Linked DNA regions of Danio rerio. The protein of the gene in region 1 interacts with the protein of each later gene in a pairwise test. Links are inferred from orthologs where the notes say so. Each region holds a gene or a part of one and is shown in the gene's direction. Other genes may lie near its edges.

The links. The genes of interacting proteins can lie anywhere in the genome.
Region 2: the proteins of spdl1 (region 1) and dnaaf4 interact in binary tests that used the Homo sapiens proteins (3 or more experiments, as listed by UniProt). The two-hybrid records come from large-scale screens. The link is inferred for Danio rerio from reciprocal best matches to the Homo sapiens genes SPDL1 and DNAAF4.
Region 3: the proteins of spdl1 (region 1) and ca8 interact in binary tests that used the Homo sapiens proteins (3 or more experiments, as listed by UniProt). The two-hybrid records come from large-scale screens. The link is inferred for Danio rerio from reciprocal best matches to the Homo sapiens genes SPDL1 and CA8.

What each region holds. Positions count from the first base shown.
Region 1 is NC_133189.1:43,412,906-43,419,019, reverse strand, and holds part of spdl1 (protein Spindly), read left to right. Parts: intron 1-1,951; coding exon 1,952-2,234; intron 2,235-6,114. UniProt on the Homo sapiens protein: Required for the localization of dynein and dynactin to the mitotic kintochore.
Region 2 is NC_133193.1:3,049,617-3,055,730, forward strand, and holds part of dnaaf4 (dynein axonemal assembly factor 4), read left to right. Parts: intron 1-215; coding exon 216-346; intron 347-1,295; coding exon 1,296-1,405; exon of another isoform or gene 1,406-1,476; intron 1,477-3,299; coding exon 3,300-3,453; exon of another isoform or gene 3,454-4,801; intron 4,802-4,995; exon of another isoform or gene 4,996-5,949; coding exon 5,950-6,055; intron 6,056-6,114.
Region 3 is NC_133177.1:25,089,737-25,095,850, forward strand, and holds part of ca8 (carbonic anhydrase-related protein), read left to right. Parts: intron 1-1,552; coding exon 1,553-1,677; intron 1,678-2,297; coding exon 2,298-2,393; intron 2,394-5,090; coding exon 5,091-5,153; intron 5,154-5,226; coding exon 5,227-5,275; intron 5,276-5,413; coding exon 5,414-5,526; intron 5,527-6,114. UniProt on the Homo sapiens protein: Does not have a carbonic anhydrase catalytic activity.

The sequences.
Region 1 (6,114 bases):
AACAAAATATTGCTTATATTGATGTGATATTGGTCTTAGAAACTCATGTATCAGATGATATGATGCGAGCGGCTTTATTGACCTTATTCTTTGTGTATGAGCGAGTGCAGCCGTTTGAATCTTCTGCCTTTAGACTTCCGTTCTCATTCACTTCTATTAATTTTAGATGTTAAAAAACGCTCATTATGCTGCTTGATGTTGTAAACCGATATTTTCATGTTATATTATTCTACTTTATCTATATAATAATGAACACACTTTTTTGTAGAGCAAATAGTTTGACCGTTCATTATTTCTAGTCATTACTCCCTTAGGAAACTGAACTGGAAGCTGTAAAACAATCATAAAATGACTCCACATTGAAGAAAAAGGTCAATAGGGTTCAGTATATCTGATATTCCGATTCTCAAATGTGTGTAAGAAGAACACAATTCACATGAGAACACATATTTGCATTCTATAGATCATATTAGCTGATCTATAATGTGTACTGCAGTGGAGAAACTAAAGCTGACTAATTTACAACATATAAATTCAACAACTTGTCCTGAAGTTAATGAAAGCGTCTGCTTAATTAGGAAAACAATAGAGTAAATATTCTAGCTTCCTAAAAAGTGTATATCTGATATGAAGAAAGCAATCTGTCAGATGATGGTGCAAAATAATAATATTATTGCCATGGCAGAAAAACTGATTTGAATTCAGCAGAGCTGATCATAAAATGAACTGAATATTCTAATCACACAGGTGTGATTGAACAGCTCTAAGGGTAAAGACACCCCTGTTGTGAGCTTTAACTGAACTCAGTTCTTTTTAATACAATGGTTTTAAAACAATTCTGCTTAACCGCAAAGTTAGTGCAGACAAAAACACTATTCACAACGCTGTACAGAAAAGTCCACCAAACATAAACTCATCGTAAGCAAAATGTGCCAAAAATAAATTAATTGTTCCTTATTTTTTGCCCCAGTGAACACAGCAGATCTCACCAATCTCAAAATACTTACATATTTCTATAAATGCATACATATGCTTGAAATATGTTGTTTTCATAGATGCTAAGAACAACTGCAACTTAAAATGAATGATATAAGGCTGTTAAATGCAAGACAACTTTAGTTAAGTTAGGTAACGGTTAGTTAGTTAAGACCTTATTTATCCCGAATGGAAATATGAACTATAAAATTAATAGTAGATTTTAAATACTTTTTGCTTCAATTTAAACTTTGCAACATTGGGATTAAATTCATAGCTGATTTTGTTTATGACATGACATTATAAACAGTTTTATAGAAATGCCTATAAAAATACTTCTTAAACCACAAACAATTAAAAAGTGAGCGAATACATTTGCATGGCAGGTTTTTTTATAGAGCACATTTCATATACAATGGTAATTCAAGGTGCTTGACATAAACAAGAGTAAAAGTAACAAGAAAATAAAGACAACAATGAATAAAAACATATATAAAATAACACATAAAATGTGTTAAAACAAGTTTTAAAGGAATGAAAAACAAAAGAAGACATAAAAGTGTGTTTTGAGAAGGTCAATGAGCAGTCCATTACAGTAATCCACTCTGCTGGTGGTTAAGAGCATGAACAAGTTTCTGAAACTCATCACTGGAAACAAAGCCTCTAATTCTTACAATGTTTTTGAGAGGTTAGTATGCTGATTTACTTATTTGACATATGACCACTGAAACTCAGATCTGACTCCAGAATCACACCTAGATTGAATTTTTTTTGTTTTTTGACCTATGGAGCCAAGCTACGCATTTACCTTGAGAACCTCATCTCTGTTCCCAAACGCACTGACTTCAGTTTTCTCTTTGTTTAACTGAAGAGCGTTTTGGCACATCCAACTGTTCATATCATCAATGCATTGGTAACTTGCAACTTCCCTCTGTTATCATATGCTGGTCATAAATGTTATGTTGTTTGTTTTCAGAGGTGAACAAAGCACAAGTACAGAAACGCCGTCGGGAGAAGTTTCCTGTTCCAGAAGAAAACTCTGCATCTGTAAAAGACGAAACCACAACCCAGGATACCGAGCCAAGCAAGAACTCGAATGAAAAAGCAGAAGAAAAAACCCCCAGTCATCCTGTCGAGAAGCCAGTTGTGATCCCATTGCAGTCTGAACAACCCACCGAACCCAACCCTGTCCTGTCTCGGGAGAGCAAGTCTGTCCGCATTTGTGAGGATCCTCCAGTATGCATTCCTGATGCACCCAGGTCAGTGCCAGCCTCTGCATGCCAACCCTTCTCCCTTCTGCTGCGCTGTGTCAACTTTACAGTGCTTGTCATCTTCCTCTTCCTGGGTTTTATGAGAACACTCACTCCTCGCCCATCACTTCCTGCTCTACCACTTCCTCTCAGGAATCCTGTAGCTCGAAGGAACTTGCTTTGATGTTTAATCTCATGACTTCTTGGTTTAATGACTGCACATTAAGAAGATTGCTTATTAGAAACTGCTAAATCACTGTGAACGTAATTAATGTTAGAGTCCTAAAAAATAATACACTGTAATGTAATATATTAGAGTACACTTTAAGAGATAGTTAGAGTAGGCATCATTTACTCATCCTGGTGTTGTTCTATTATGCCATAGTATCTTCTTTCTTTTTGGACCACGCGATGTCCTGCTTTTATTTAACCATATCCACATTATTTTTTCATTTAAAACCACACATGGCCATTTGTAAATGTAAGGTGCCTGGCTTTTGGAGTTATTTTAAACTACGGCTGAACAATATATTGTTTAAGCATCGATATCGCAATGTGTGTATGCACAATAGTCCCATAGTAATATTAGATTATTAATTAAGGATTAAAAGATAAAGATATTATTATATAAATTTTAATTATTGTATACAAATATTTATACAATAATGACTATATTATTTTATGTTTGATTGCTTAATTTCTGTGTTTAAATACTGTTTGATTCTCCAAAAAACTATTAAGGATTAGTTATTTAACTTTTATTTTTGCTTCATTTGTATACAGTGGGGAAAATAAGTGTTTAACACTTCACAATTTTTCTCTGCTAAAACATATTTCAAAGGTGCTGTTGGCTTGAAATTTGGCCTGGATGTTGGTAACAACCAAAGAAATCCATATATGCAAAAAAAAAAAATTCTAATTAGTGTGCAAGTTACGTTTTGCATAATAAAATCAAATGACGCAGGAAAAAAGTATTGAACACATGAAGACAGGGAGGTGTAGAAAAGTAGCGAAAGGCCAGACAGCAGCTGAAATCTCTCAATAGTCATTCAGCAACCCTCTACCCTTCGTCATTGTAAATTAATATTAGCTGCTTTATTCCAACATCTACATTAGCAGGATGATGAAGATGAAACCAGGGTGGATGTTTCAGCAGGACAATGCTCCAAAACACAGCCATGGAATCTCTCAAATGCTTTCAGAGAAAGAAAATCAAGCTGTAGAATAGCCCAGCCAATTATCTGACTTGAATCCAATAGAAAATACAAATTAAAGATCAGATTTGATAGACGAGATCCACAGAACTATCAAGATTTTTATATTCTGTTGAAACAATTCATGTGACTTCATTCCCCATATGAGAGGCGTCTTTAAGCTGCCATTACCCCCTCAAAAATTATTTTATATAAAGTATTAAATATGTTTTATAGTTCAGTTCTTTCTCTCTCAGAAATATTATTCCCAGAAAAAAATTCAATACGTGGTCCTAGAATTCCTAGACGTTTTCAATACTTATTTTACCTGCTGAATGCTTATAATTTATTATATTAAAAAGACTTGATCAACCCAGTCAATCTACTTTAATGAAATATTTTCAAATAGAGCTATTCAAATCACCTGGTGAAATTATATTTATATTCATACATATATCGCAACAAAACAAAATAATCGCACTGAAAGATTTTTCCAATAACGTGCAGCCCTATTTTAAAACTGTACAAAACAGCTTGTTTTGGTGCTGTACTGTATATCATAAACTTTAGTTAAAGGGATAGTTCACAAAAATTTAAATGTATTCACTATTTACTCACCCTTAAGTGGTTCCAAACCTTTATGAGTTTCTATTTTCTACTGAGCCTAAATGAAGATATTTTAAAGAAACTCTTAACCATTGACTTCCATACACTAGTAGACAACAAATACGATACTATGGATGTTAATGGTTATGACCCCAGTCATAGAGTCTCGCCGCTTGGCAGGTCTGCCTTGCCTTCGGAAAACGCGTACTCTTATAAATAATTAAGCAGCAGGGTCTTATCATAGGATTAGAAAACTCCGCTGTGAATAATAATGAAAAAACAGACGTGTCATCACTACACTAGCCGAATATCGCTACGTCACTGATTTTGATCCCGCCCCAAAAATCTTTTTAAACCCGGAAGATGAAATTAGCTGACAAGCTCAAATATATCCAGTTTTCCCACAATTAAAGCTGACAGCTGCTAATGATGCTTAACACACACAAATCAACACAAAAAAGTACTCCAGGTTGTCTTGAACCTTTAAAGGTTCTTTGTGTTTTGTACTTTGTGCATTTAAATGTGCATTTAAAATTATCCCTGACATAATTAACATGCTGGTTTGTAGCACTAGGTTTAGCCATTTATTGCACTATAACAATGAGCATTAAGCTTTTTAATAATAAAAACAACATCAGAAAACTCTAAAATGATGTGTTTTATATTCCAGGGGCCTCATGTATGAAGACTTGCGTGGAAATCATACTAAAACATTGCGTACGCACAAAGCTGTAAATGTGCGTACGCAGAAAAAAATTCAGACGTATGAAACACTGCGTACGCCGAATCTCACGCATATTCTTTTGTACATCTGAATGAACGTGAAACTGAGCGCAACATGCACGAGCACAAAACCCCTCCCTGCCTCCTCCCCCGTATGAATATTAAGGGTGTCACGATCCTCCAAATCCACGATTCGATTACATTTTCGATTCTAAAGGCACGATTCGATTATGAATAATTAATTAATTAATGACCAATTCATTATTTGTAGCCTACCGTTTAAACTACCTGAAATGCATGGTCTTTGTTTTACCCATAAACAAATCATACAGTAAATGAATAAAGGCAAGAAGCACACATAATTACCACCTGTCAATCACTTTTTTTGCGGGACTTGTGAATAGACAGTGATCTGTGTCGTTATTATGGCGTTGGTAAAAAAGGTGCACAACCAACAGGAACCAGCCAACAGTATCCGAGGTGTTCGCTAAAATGACTAAGTACAAGTGAGTGAGGGAAAGATTGAAGCAGTCCTCTGACAGCCTGGACCTGATGTCTCGAACGCAAGGCTGTATGTGCGTCTCTGTCTGTGTGGTCACGTGATGTGCATTTTCAGGGGTAGAGAGGAAGGAGGGCTGCTCAGAAATGCTACACACCACTGTGGATGTCAAATCGTTGTCGTTCTAAAATGCCATTTAAAAACAAAGACAGTGTAAACAGGGCCTGAGTGTGTAGCGGATTTGCAACGGGGGAGGGTGGAGGATCACGATGCCGGTGTTGTCTATCGGACGAACCGTACGTAATACGTACATAGCAGAGCTTGCAAAACTGTGTTTTTTTTTGTCGACAACACGAACGTTGTCAACATAACTCACTGGAAATCCAAAATGCTTACACACCGGCGACTTCATTGAAAGAGGAGAGGGTTTAAGTTCTGTCGACGGGTCTCCTGCTTCTGCAGTTCAGCACTTCAACAAGCCTGTTTTTTTCCCGCTTGGCAAGCCAAGCTGACGTGACATGGGGGCGTGGCAGCATCGACGATTCTATTTTTTGATTCGATAATCGAAATTGAGCATAAATTTCGATCGATTTCGATTAAAAATCGAAATCGTGACACCCCTAATGAATATGCAAATGACTCTACTTTGGCAAAACCCAACGAAAAATAAAAGCAAAAGCAAGCAAGCAAGAAGAGAAACTTTGAACAGAATGTGAATTGGAGGTGCTCCTTTCAGAGGTAGACCGGAGAAAGGCGGTGTTATTTGCAAGTTTGTTCTCCGGAATTAACAACAAAAGAAAAAAAATAGAGTGGGAGAGTTTAACTGATGCGGTTAACACAGTTGGGTCTGAACATCGCACTGAGTAAA
Region 2 (6,114 bases), on another chromosome or scaffold:
ATTAAAATGTTCTTAAATGTTTAATTACAAACTGCTTTTATTCTATCCAAAATAAAACAAGACTTTCTCCAGAAGAAATCATATTATAGGAGATACTGTGAAAAATTCCTGCATCTGTTCATCATTTGGGAAATATTTTTCCCAAAAAAAAACTTCAGAGGAGGGTAAATGATTTTGACTTTAATTGTACATAATAAGAGTTTTTTTCCTGCTAGGTCAGATGAGGAGTAAACAGAAAACAAAGGATCTTCCGGCTCCCAGATCTGCTGGCTGTATTCAGATCAGCTTCACTCCACGAGTGTTTCCCACCGCGCTCAGAGAGTCTCGCGTCCCCGAGGAGGAGGAGGTCAGATCTATATTAAACAGACATTATTCTGGTCCGGGTGCTGATGATAAATGTGTAATGCTGACCACTGCAAACATCTTGTTAGTGTGTGTGTGTGTGTGTCTGTCTGTGTACGTGTGTACCTATGTGCGTATGAGTGTATGTTTATGTGTACCTGTGCGAATTATACATTGACTATCGGGGGGTCAACTTTTTCGGTAACGATAATGTTAGTTTGTATAACACATGCTTCAGCTTATCACATGTATGCATATTTGTTTAAATGGCAATTATTTTATTAATAAAACATATCTAGGTTTTTAGTGTGGGATATTTAGCGTATTCTGACCTACCTCCGACTAGCTGTTTCAGTGGGTAATGTAGGTCAAACTATACCAACTGTGCAGCTAATTCGATTTTACTTTTAGGCTATGTGTAGATACAAACACCTATTTTACTAGTAAATGTGTATCAATGCTCCAGATCTGCCGCTTTCAGACTGTTGAATGACTTTTCTCTCTCATAGACTGACTGGCGCAATCATGCATTTACAATGGTATGCGCCATTATAGGGGTGGACAGATGCATATTTATATTATCTACTATTTTAATTATTAATGTTATTATTTACGTTACAGATCAGAGCAATAATTGGAATTAATTAGGGGGGTCAATCCCCCCAACCCCCCCTGTCATTTGCACCCAGCCTGTGAGTGTATGTCTGTGTTTGTGCATGTGTTTATGACATAATATAAGGACACAAACTTGAATAATGACATGGTTATAGGCAGAAGGTGTCTTATGAGGACATCTCCCATATTCCCATTTTTTTAAAAGGCTTATAAATCATGCAGAATTATTTTTTTCATGAAGTCAGAATGCACACAATTTTCTGTGAGGGTAAGGTTGGGGTGGAGCAATAGAAAACAGATTGTACAATGTAAAAACCATTATGCCTATGCTTAAACAGTGGTTGAAGAAGCAGGCGGAGGCCAGGAGAGCAATAGACACAGATCTGGCAGAACTGGACGACCTGACAGAGGACGAGAGAAACCCAGACTGGCTGAAAGACAAGGGAGAGTCAGTGTCTTCATGCTGTTTTTCTCTCTTTTGTCTGACTTTTTGCAGTGTGTTGCTGATCAAAGCTTTAGGTCTGTTTTTAATTTTTTTCATAGCTGCATTTATTTGGTTGAAACAGTAAAAATGCAAAACCTTTCAATAATATTTCATTCAAAACAATAACTGCTTTAATATAGTGTGAAATGTAATTTATTACTGTGATTCTATGCTGAATTTTCAGCATCATATCACCAGTCTTCAGTGTCACACGATCCTTCTGAACTCATTATAATATGAAGATTTAACTGTCAAGACACATTTTTCAAATATAACCAATGAATATTAATACATATATTTGATGAATATATGGAGTTATAAAATACTGTTATTACCTATTTATTTGAAATGTTTTATATTCCTTAATGCATCCTTGCTGAAAAAAAATTATAATCTAAAGAGTTTAGATGCCAAAACCTCAAAGTGCCGTCGGAGATTTTCATCTAAAATGAGCATTTTACACTGTTGTGTGTAGTTTCAGTAATTTTCATCGCCCTTAAAGTGAAATAACTGAACATAAACATAAAAACGCTAATTTTAGAGGAACATTTCAGACGGCACTTAAAGGTTTTAATCTGAATTCTTCCTATACATTAATTCAATTCATTTCATCTTTATTTCTGTAGCACTTTTACAATGTAGATTGTGTCAAAGCAGCTTATATAGAAGTTCTAGTAAATGTAAACAGTCAGTCCAGTTTTCAGAGTTGAAGCTTAGTTTAGTTCAGTTCAGTGTGGTTTAATATTTACTGCTGAAAGTCCAAACACTGAAGAGTAATTCATCGATGCTCAGCTCTACAAGTCTCAATCTGAGCAAGCCAGTGGTGACAGTGGAGGAACAAACTTCACCAATTGCAAAAGTGGTGAATGGGCAAAAAATGTATATATATATTTTTTTACATTAAAATATTTTTTCAAAGTCGATATTATATATGAGCAATATCACACGAGTAGCAGTGCGATATGGCTGTATATCGGCACTGGTGGGAGGCGTGCGTTGGCACAATATACAGCCATATCACACTGCTACGAGTGTGATATTGCGTTTATACGACAGTTTGACAGCATAATTGTGTATATAAAAACAAAATCAAACATGGAGAGTCTCAAAAACCCTTTTGTATGAGGAACTACTTTCTTCCGCCTTGGATTCAAATCATAAGCTGACAGTTAAACAGTTGAGCGTGCATCTTTTAAACTTTAGATCTGTAGTGTCTGCTTTTTGCTGGCTGTATGTGGGTGGAGAAATACACAAAGGGTAAAGAGGCTGTACAGGGGCTGATATTACTTAAATATATCACAGCTATCAGCCAATCAGATTCGAGAACCAGACAGAACTGTTGTATGAAATTAAATATTATAATCTTATTCATATATATCTTATATATAAGAGTCTTATCATATTAATAAATAATTAATATAGTCTTATATAGTATAGTAACTTATATAGTTCTTTATATTTTTAAATAAGTAGAACTTGCACTTTTTCCTACAAGTATAGTAAATATTAGCCATGTATCAAAACACTGAGGCCCAGTTTCACAAACAGCGCTTAGATTAAGCCAGGACTAGGCCTTAGAGAAATTAGGCTATTTAAGCCACATTTATAAAATGGCCTTTGAAAATATATTACTGGTGTGCACCTGGAGACAAAAAAATGACACTGACGTATTTTAAGACATCTCACTGCAAGTTATTTTGAGTTGAGACAGCTTTTAAACCTTGACTAGCCTTAAATCTTGTTTGTGAAACCGGGGGTGAATGTTTTACTGTTATTTAATTTATTTTGTGTATATGCTTCCATCACTATAAGATTGCATTAAATCTCATCATCATCTGGTTTGTCTTTTTTCCTGCAGTAAATTGTTCATGGCAGGAAACTTTCTGGCTGCTGTCAACGCTTATAATCTGGCCATAAAACTCAACAGGAAGATGCCGGCTTTATTTTCTAATCGAGCGGCTTGTCACCTCAAACTGAGAAATCTCCACAAGGCCATTGAGGACAGCTCTCAGGTCAGTTCTTTTGGGTATACGTTATGTTTTCATGATAATGTGCTATATGCATATCAGCTAGTGTTTTCCAGCCAGTGATAAACATCCAGTGAAAGCTTCATTTGACTATTTTCAATTTCAGGAGTTTGCTTTAAATACAATTTGTATTGTAATTTAAATACAATCAATTAAATAGACTTCAGCATTCATTTAGTTGATCAAGTGTAAAGCGAGATAGAAGACGCAAGCACCATCAGTAGCAGCAGACGAGCAAAGAAACTCCATTGAAAATACTGGGGTAAAATAAATTGGCATATTTTAAAGACATGGCATGGTAAAATAGAACTTAATGCAGTGCTTCTTGTCCAATAACTGTATATCGTATATCAATCAGGCAGTAAAGATCATTGATTTTTAAAGAAATCAGATCTTATACGTGGGGATTTTGTAATGGTGCAATAGTTTACTGGAAGCACTTCGACTGGCTGGCTGAAAATTAAAAGTCATATACCACATTGGCTGGTCTTTTTTTATCTACCGTGTTGAGCTTTTTTCTATGCTTATGTAACCCCGCCGGTCCTACACCACCCAACCTGCCCCGAGCTAGGATCGAACCGGCGAGGTGGCGACCTCATGGGAGTTGAGTGCTCTAACAAGGAGGCTAAAGACCATGGTCCCTAGCGTCTGTCGCTAGAGCACCTTTAGAGGTCAGAGGAGTGAGGTTTACCTGCACAGCACCTACTGGCTGGCCTCTGTTAAACTCACCCCCCTAAACCTCACTCCCATCCGGGTCACGGCACCAACGTAACCCTGTCGGTCCTACACCACCCAACCGGCCCCGAACTGGGTTCGAATCAGCATCCTTCCGCATGGGAGTCGGGTGCTCTAACAAGAAGGCTAAAGACCGTGGCCTCTAGCGTCTGTCAACAGAGCACCTTTAGAGGTCAGAGGAGTGAGGCTTAGCTAGAGTGAGGATAGCTGGCCTCCGTTACACTTACGAGCGGGCCCAACCATTGCAATCTTTTTAGCTCAAAACTTCCAGTCTCATTCACTTACATTGATTTTTAGATGTTAAAAACTACTTGTTATCCTGCTTGATGCTACAAGCTGACATTTTCTTATCATGTTATTCTCCTTTTTTATGTAGTGTAAAATGTGCGGGTCCTTTAAGGGGCGGAGCTGCAGTTTAGTGTGTGTAAACGGATAGGGAGAGACAGAAAAGAGGAGCAGTTTTTCGCAATGAGACTGCTTTTACTGATGTTCGCTCTTGAGTGACTGATTTTGTTGTACCACATGGATAGTAATCAATAATTGGACCATGTTATATGTAAGGGAGTTAACCCCAAAACTAATATTTTTCGACCCTGGAGTAATAAATGAATTTCCCCCAGCTATCTCAAACACATAGATATATACACTAGATATTGCAAAAAGACCCTGAGCATGCGTCAATAGCGCCGCCACATTTGTACAGTGCTCCCAGGACAAATGTCATTCAACCGCACTAGTCGAGCCAGTATACTATGTGAAGATGCTGGGCTTTAGTGCTGTCTACGGGTGTAGTAACGAGCAAACAAACAAAACAAAGCACAAAGGCAGAACATTTCATAGGTAAGATTAAGTTTTTTACGTTTTTGTATGTTCTGAACTTTTGTGCTAATCAGGTAACGTTGTTGATGATAATACAGTCACTACTGCATTCACCATAAGGCAAAGCAGAAGCAACTCACATTAAACACTCGTCTTATGCTAGTTTTGTTGAATAAAATCAGCAAACAATGCAAAAGAAATATGACAACGAGATGCTGCGCTGCCAGAAACTTGTATTATTGTCAGCTAAGTGAAGAAGTAGTTCATAACGGAGATTCATTCACAAGCAAATCGCTCCCTCCGTCAGTATGAAAAGTGAAAGCAGGAGAGGAGCTGTGTTTCAGGACATGATTAGATCAAATTTAACAGGGAGGGTGGATAGTACATTTCCGAACACACAAACACACGCTTTTTGTCAGGAATGCCCGTGCAGTCACTGATCCATCAATGTAGAAAATGTAAAATTATAATATTTTCGTAATTAAAAAAAAAAATTGTATACTGACCTCCGGGATCATAGATATATGATCCAGATCATAGATACATGTGTATATGTGTATATCTCTGGCTTTGGATGGGCACAGCACAGTCCTTCACTGCAGCTTGGTCCCGCATTCATTTCAAAGGAGCTCTACCCTGTACTAAAATGGCGGCTCTATTGACGCATTCCTTCCAATAGACAACAACCAGCTAGGTGACATCTAATGTATATATCTATGTCTCTAACACAGCAAGGGAACAGAGCAGGAAAGGTTAACAATATTCCTGAACACCATTTTCTGCTCTTTATCATTCCTAGTTATTTCTCCCATAGGCAATTGATTCAGAAGTTTTGAAACAATCGAAAAAATCAAATCAAGTAAAAAAAAACAAGTGCATTTCCGCATTGTAGAATGAGGTCAACAAATGAACACCCTTTTTCCACAGGCGCTTGAGTTGCTGACGCCTGCGGTCTCTGCGAACGCTTCAGCTCGACTGAAGGCTCATGTGAGGCGGGGGACAGCCTTCTGTCAGCTCCAGCTCTATGTGGAAGGTTCTAGATCATTTACTGTCACTTTCAGCTCTCATGTAAAACACATCAACCGCTGCAGT
Region 3 (6,114 bases), on another chromosome or scaffold:
GTTAGCACTGTCACCTTACAGCAAAAAGCTCACTGGACTTTTTGAGTACCGGCTGGACCAGTTGGCATTTCTGTGTGGAGTTTGCATGTTCTTTCTGTGTTGGCGTAGGTTTCCTTTGGGTGCTCTTGTTTCCCCCAAAGACATGCGCTATAGGTGAATTGGGTTAACAAAACTGGCCTTAGTGTATGAGTGTGTGTGAATGTGAGAATGTATGGGTGTTTCACAGGACTGGGTTGCGGCTGGAATGAATGGCTGTGTAAAACATATACTGGAATAGTTGGCGGTTCATTCTGCTGTGGCGACCTCTGATAATCAGAGACTAAGCTAAAGAAAAATGAATGAATGATTTCTTTTTAATGAAAAAAACATTAAAGATTTTTTAAATAGAAATTTAAAACGTTTTATTTTTATTATGTTATGATTATGTTATGCTATTATTTATTAAAGGTGATAAGAAGATGAAATTTTCAAAATTCTCAAAAAAAATTTTGGTTATGTTTATGCTGTAACACTTTGTTATAAACAGTCTGCATGTATTTATGTGCCTTAATAGCTAGCTATCTAAACTTCACCCACCAGGTTTTGTAAATAGACAGCAAACCATGCCCAGATGAAGATGCTCACAATATCCCATTTTCAGAAGAGGCAACAGCGAAAATGATCAGTATTAAATGTAAAAGTAATGTCCCAGGAAGAGAAAAAAATGTGTGCAAAACATTTTTCTTTGCTGGACTGCCTTATGACCTCAGTCAATTTGAAGCTGAACTCTTAAATGTAAAGGATGCAGCTATACCTATAGGCAGGGCTTGACATTAACTTTTTTGATCAGCAGCCACTGTGGCTAGTAGATTTCCAACATTACTAGCCACTTGTCAGTTTCACTAGCCACACTTTTGTTGTTGGGAAATTATATTTTTATATGCATAAATTTGACTATGACATGTTAAAATTACTTGATTTAGATGTTGTTTCAACACCGATAAATCCGTTTGGATGAGACCACTACAAGTTCACAATGCGGGCTCTCTGCGTTGTCTGCTGAAGCGAGTCGGCATTGTGAAGCCCACTAGTGAAGCCCGGCGTTGTGAAGATGTCCACATGCCTCCTCATTCTTTTCACTTTTTGTGTGTGTGATGAGCTTGTAGTAGGTCATTCTGGGTACTCCTTACATACTGTTTTTTGAATGCTATGAATTCGGACATACTATTCGGCTCTTATCCTGTTTAAAGCATACTATATAATATGGAAGTATGCGATTTCAGATGCAGCTAGACTTTTCATTGAGACCCTGATGTATAATATCATCTTGTCTATATTGGGCATCCAATTGAAGAGTACTAGAAATAAGCAATAACTTTAAAATAGTCTTACTCATTCTCATAAAGGAAGTGTCAAGTAAATGAAATGATTTGACTTTATTTTACTCTAATAGCCTTATATAGTTTTATTATACAGAATGGTTAAAAGACATAAATCTGCTGTGTGTGGGAAACCATATATGCTGCCTGTGTATTGAGCTTGTTTTCTGTCTTTTCTCTGTATGTAATGTCAGTTGTTACTGGAGGTCCTCTCCCCAGTGACCATGAGTATGAGCTGAGCGAGGTGCGCTTTCACTGGGGCAAAGAAAACCAGAGAGGATCTGAACACACTGTCAACTTCAAGGCTTTTCCAATGGAGGTCAGTGTCACTCCGCTATTTCTGTCACCTCATCAGTCACTTATCCATCCTGATCTCTAAAACAATCTAGTTTCACACTACACACCAAAGCACATATTCATTTAGAGAGCCCTATTTACACGCCACCAATTTTCACACTGCATAAGCAAACAGCATGCTGAAAATGTGCTGCAAAACTTGAAACAATTGTATATCCTTGATACAATGAGCCTCGTTTCCTGATTTGCATGTTACCACAAAATTGGACTGCATGTCTGCTACTGCATGTCTGATTTTTAGCTACAAATGCACTTCAATCCTTGTCAAAAACAGTAACAGCACACACTCTGATATGGGATTTGCCATCAAGCGATCTATTCCCATCACCTGCCCCTGGCACCTGCTCTCCTAATCCTGATCTTCTGTACACAATGAAAAAGATAAGAGCCCGTTTTCAATGTGTTACCATGTTTGTCAACCAGTTACCATGTCACGTTTCCTTAAGCTGTTGGCACAACTTCGAGTCAAACCAGTCCTTTAGCAGGATGTAGATAATCAATACCTTCATAATTTTGCATATGTTAATTTCAGAGTTCAGTTTCAGTGCAAATCTCTCAATGAGTAATCAATATCTTTCACAGCTTCATCTAATACACTGGAACTCTACATTATTCAACAGCGTGGAGGAGGCCATGGGCAAGAAAAGAGGCATTCTCATCATCGCCCTGTTTGTGCAGGTATCACACTGAATGGCCTGAGCAGATATGTAAAAAAACAAGCTATAAAAAAACTGTTAATCATGGTCTAAATATAAAAAGATGAAATGGTCACTGGTGATTTGTATTGGTGTGTTCAAGTCATGTCCGGTTGTATTTTTATGAGTTGTAATTACAAGAAGGAAGTGAGATTTGCTTTAAGCCCCAGGTCTCAGAACTGAGGCATGTTGTAAGGAACCATGTTGAATGACATGGAAATGTAGAAGTTCAAACAATGAGTATGTTTACATGGACACTAATAATTAGATTTTAATATGATTAAGATATACTCTTATTAAGAGTCTAGCATGTAAACGGTGCTCTTTGATTACCAGATTTTTGAAACTTTATTGTATTTGTTCTGATTTTCAAATTAGTGTTTGTTTTCTGACCTGTGAGTGTCTGACCAAAATTGTAAGTCATAGAGACATCAAAAATGGCCGGATGGTCCTAAATGTCCCTCAATACTCAGGTGTACATACACACCAAATTTAGCATGTGCCAAAGGAATGCATGGCAAAATTAGAATTTAATTTCATCTAATGGTTTGGAACATAGAGCTTAAATTAGATTCCTAGTCTGTTTCTCAATTCCAAGAACGCAGAGAACGAACTTGCATTTGTTACATAACCAGCAATCTGTTCCTGAAAGATTGCTGGCATACTACACATGACATTCATGAACTACATATTCCAGCATGCCTTTGCACAAACCAGTCACCATTAATCACACACAGCTGAATATCGTCATCATCAATTTGTTTGGACTATTTATACACATTGCACACACCAGTCAATGTGGAATCTTTGTTTGTCAGTACCTGTATGGTTTCAGTGAGTGTCGTCCTGTTTAGTTTGTCTAGTTATGTTTTGATGATTGTTTCGTAACTTTTTGTACTTTGATCATCGCTTTGTTTTTGCATTTTTCGATGCCCTTCATGATACCTGAGTTCTTGTTTTTTGACCTAATTTGTTTTTGCCTGCACGAATAATCTTTTTTCATTAAAAATTGCATTTGGATCCAACGAAGCGTTCTTGTGGAGACCGGTCTTGCCAGGTGTCCTCGGAAGAATGAACTCAGGAGACCGCGAGGACAGAGAATGCGTCCTTTGGGAAATGGGATGCTGCGTTCTTCCTGATGGTCACGTGACCTTCACGCATTTTAAATGGAAATCATTTAAACATTACAGCACTCATACAACGATTTATTGTTTTCCCTTTTCTTCAAAATATATACTTTGCATAAAAACATTATAAATATACTCTGCACAATATAAATAAAAAAATTTTTTGAAACGAATTTCAGCAAACAAACACCCTTAATGTGTTTATTCCTTTTTTAAGATATTCACGTTAATGTTTATTTTCACAGTTTCATTTAGGAAAACTCCTGAGGTAAATAAGTGATATCTCTGAACTTTAATAATAAATCTAAATTAAATGCTGCGCTTCATACCTCCATTCGCAATGACTTCTGGGACTTCCAGAGAGAGTTCGGTGCTCAAGTCTGCATCAGAGCGTCCTCGAAATCATGATCACATCCGGGAAGTTTCACGCGTCCTCCGTACTTGCGGTCTTGAGTATTGGAACTAAACTTAGGCAGCTGATGATGACGTTGCACGAGGACACAAGACCGCTGAAGAACGCATCGTTGTATGAAATCGTTGTATGAAGGCTGTAATGTTTAAATAATTTACCATTTAAAACACGTGAAGGTCATGTGACCATCAGGAAGAACGCAGCATTTCAATTTTCAAAGGACGCGTTCTCTTCCCTCACGGTCTCCTGAGTTCGTTCTTCCGAGGACACCTGGCAAGACCGGTCTCCACAAGAACACAAGTCCGTTCTCTGCGTTCTTGGAATTGAGAAACAGCCTTGGTCCTGGAGGGTCTGCGTCCGGCAGATTTTAGCTCCAACTTGTCTCAAAACATCTGCAAGGATGTTTCTAGAAGCCTAGTAAAGCAGCGGTCACACTGCACTTTTCTCCCCATAGACTTCCATTCATACGCACATAAATGCGTCAGAGCGGAACGGAACACAAGCTTGTGCGACAAGTTTCGCAGTTCGCTGCATTTGAAAGTTCAAGCTTGGTGAACTCGGACCTGCGAAATCTCATCACATGATTGGGTGAGACCAATCCAAGATCAAAACATGACCTCTCTGGACAGGAATTTAAAACATGGACCAATCGCTAGCTTTTTTTTTTTTTTAAATGTCTACTCATCTAATCCTGCCCCTTTTCACAGTGCTGTACTGTGAAGCTGCGGTCACATTAGAGTTTGAGCATGCGATATTCTGACGTGCGGCACTGCGGAAAGGGGCGGGATTAAACAAGAATATTAGACATTTAAAAAAGCGAGTGATTGCTCCAAACAAAGACAGGCACAAAATGCACATTTTCAAAGCCGAATTTCTGACTTTAGCATTGTTTTTCAGATAAGCTAGAACGTTCACTTAGCATGTTTGTCAAATATCTGCAAACATATTATTTTTATGCTTTAGAAAAGTCAAAAACTTAACAAAACACACTTTGCACACTGTTATGAATCATTCTGTTGATGGGAAGTAAAAATCCTGTTTAATGTTTGAATTTATGGAAACAAATACTGTTTCTAGGAGAAACTGAACTGACCATATGTCCTGCTCAGCTGACACGGCTGCTCTAATTTACCCTTTTCAGGTTGGGAAGGAACATCTTGGTCTGAAGGCCATCACAGACGTCCTGCAGGACCTGCAGTATAAGGCAAGCAGAAGAGCAGCTTTAGTAAACACAACACATCCCCTTGTGACCTAAAATGTTTCTTTTGTTTGTACAGGGGAAGACTAAAATAATTCCATGTTTTAATCCCAACACATTACTCCCTGGTAAATGATTTCTTCATTAATAATCCATGATAGTGGTATTAGCATCTTTTTGCATGTTTTTGTTCTTGATGTTTTCTGACTAGTTAAAGTTTATCAGTTTGTATCTGACTGCCTCTGTTGCTATGTTTACACACTCAGATCCTCTATTAAGAGATTACTGGGTGTATGAGGGCTCTTTAACCACCCCGCCCTGTAGTGAGAACGTCACCTGGATTCTGTACCGTTACCCTTTGACCATCTCTCAGATGCAGGTGATGCCTATACAAATATTATTGGGTTGTTGACTTGACTTTGCATTTTCACTGTCACACTTGAAAAAAATGAATGTAATTAGTACTGCGATCATTTTCTTGCATGAAAACTTGAAAATTTGTACATTTTTGAGCCAAATCTTTGGCATTCCACTGAAAATATTGTTTGTTTAGTTGTAGGACCTCATTTAAGATCATGTGACCTCCTTTGAAGCCCATGACATGCACATGTTAAGTGTTTGTCTCAGAATTTCTCACATATTTAACTTTTTGGAACCATTATAAAATTGTTTAAAAAGTTAAATGTTTTGTTGTCCTTTGGTGTGACTCCCCTTTTATTAAAACAAATCTAACAAATTCATCATGTTACTGAGAAAAATATTATTGCTAATTTCATGTAAAACAAATAGCACTATATGAAGATATAAGTGTCCAACAGTAAAGATAAGTCACGCTCATGATATTTGTACATTATAAAGAGTTGTTTTTCTTCATTTTTGCTATGTTACACCGTATTGAATATTTAAGATACAATTCAGTAAAAGTGAATCTAATAAAGAAAAAAAAGATGAAGTTAGTGACTCATCA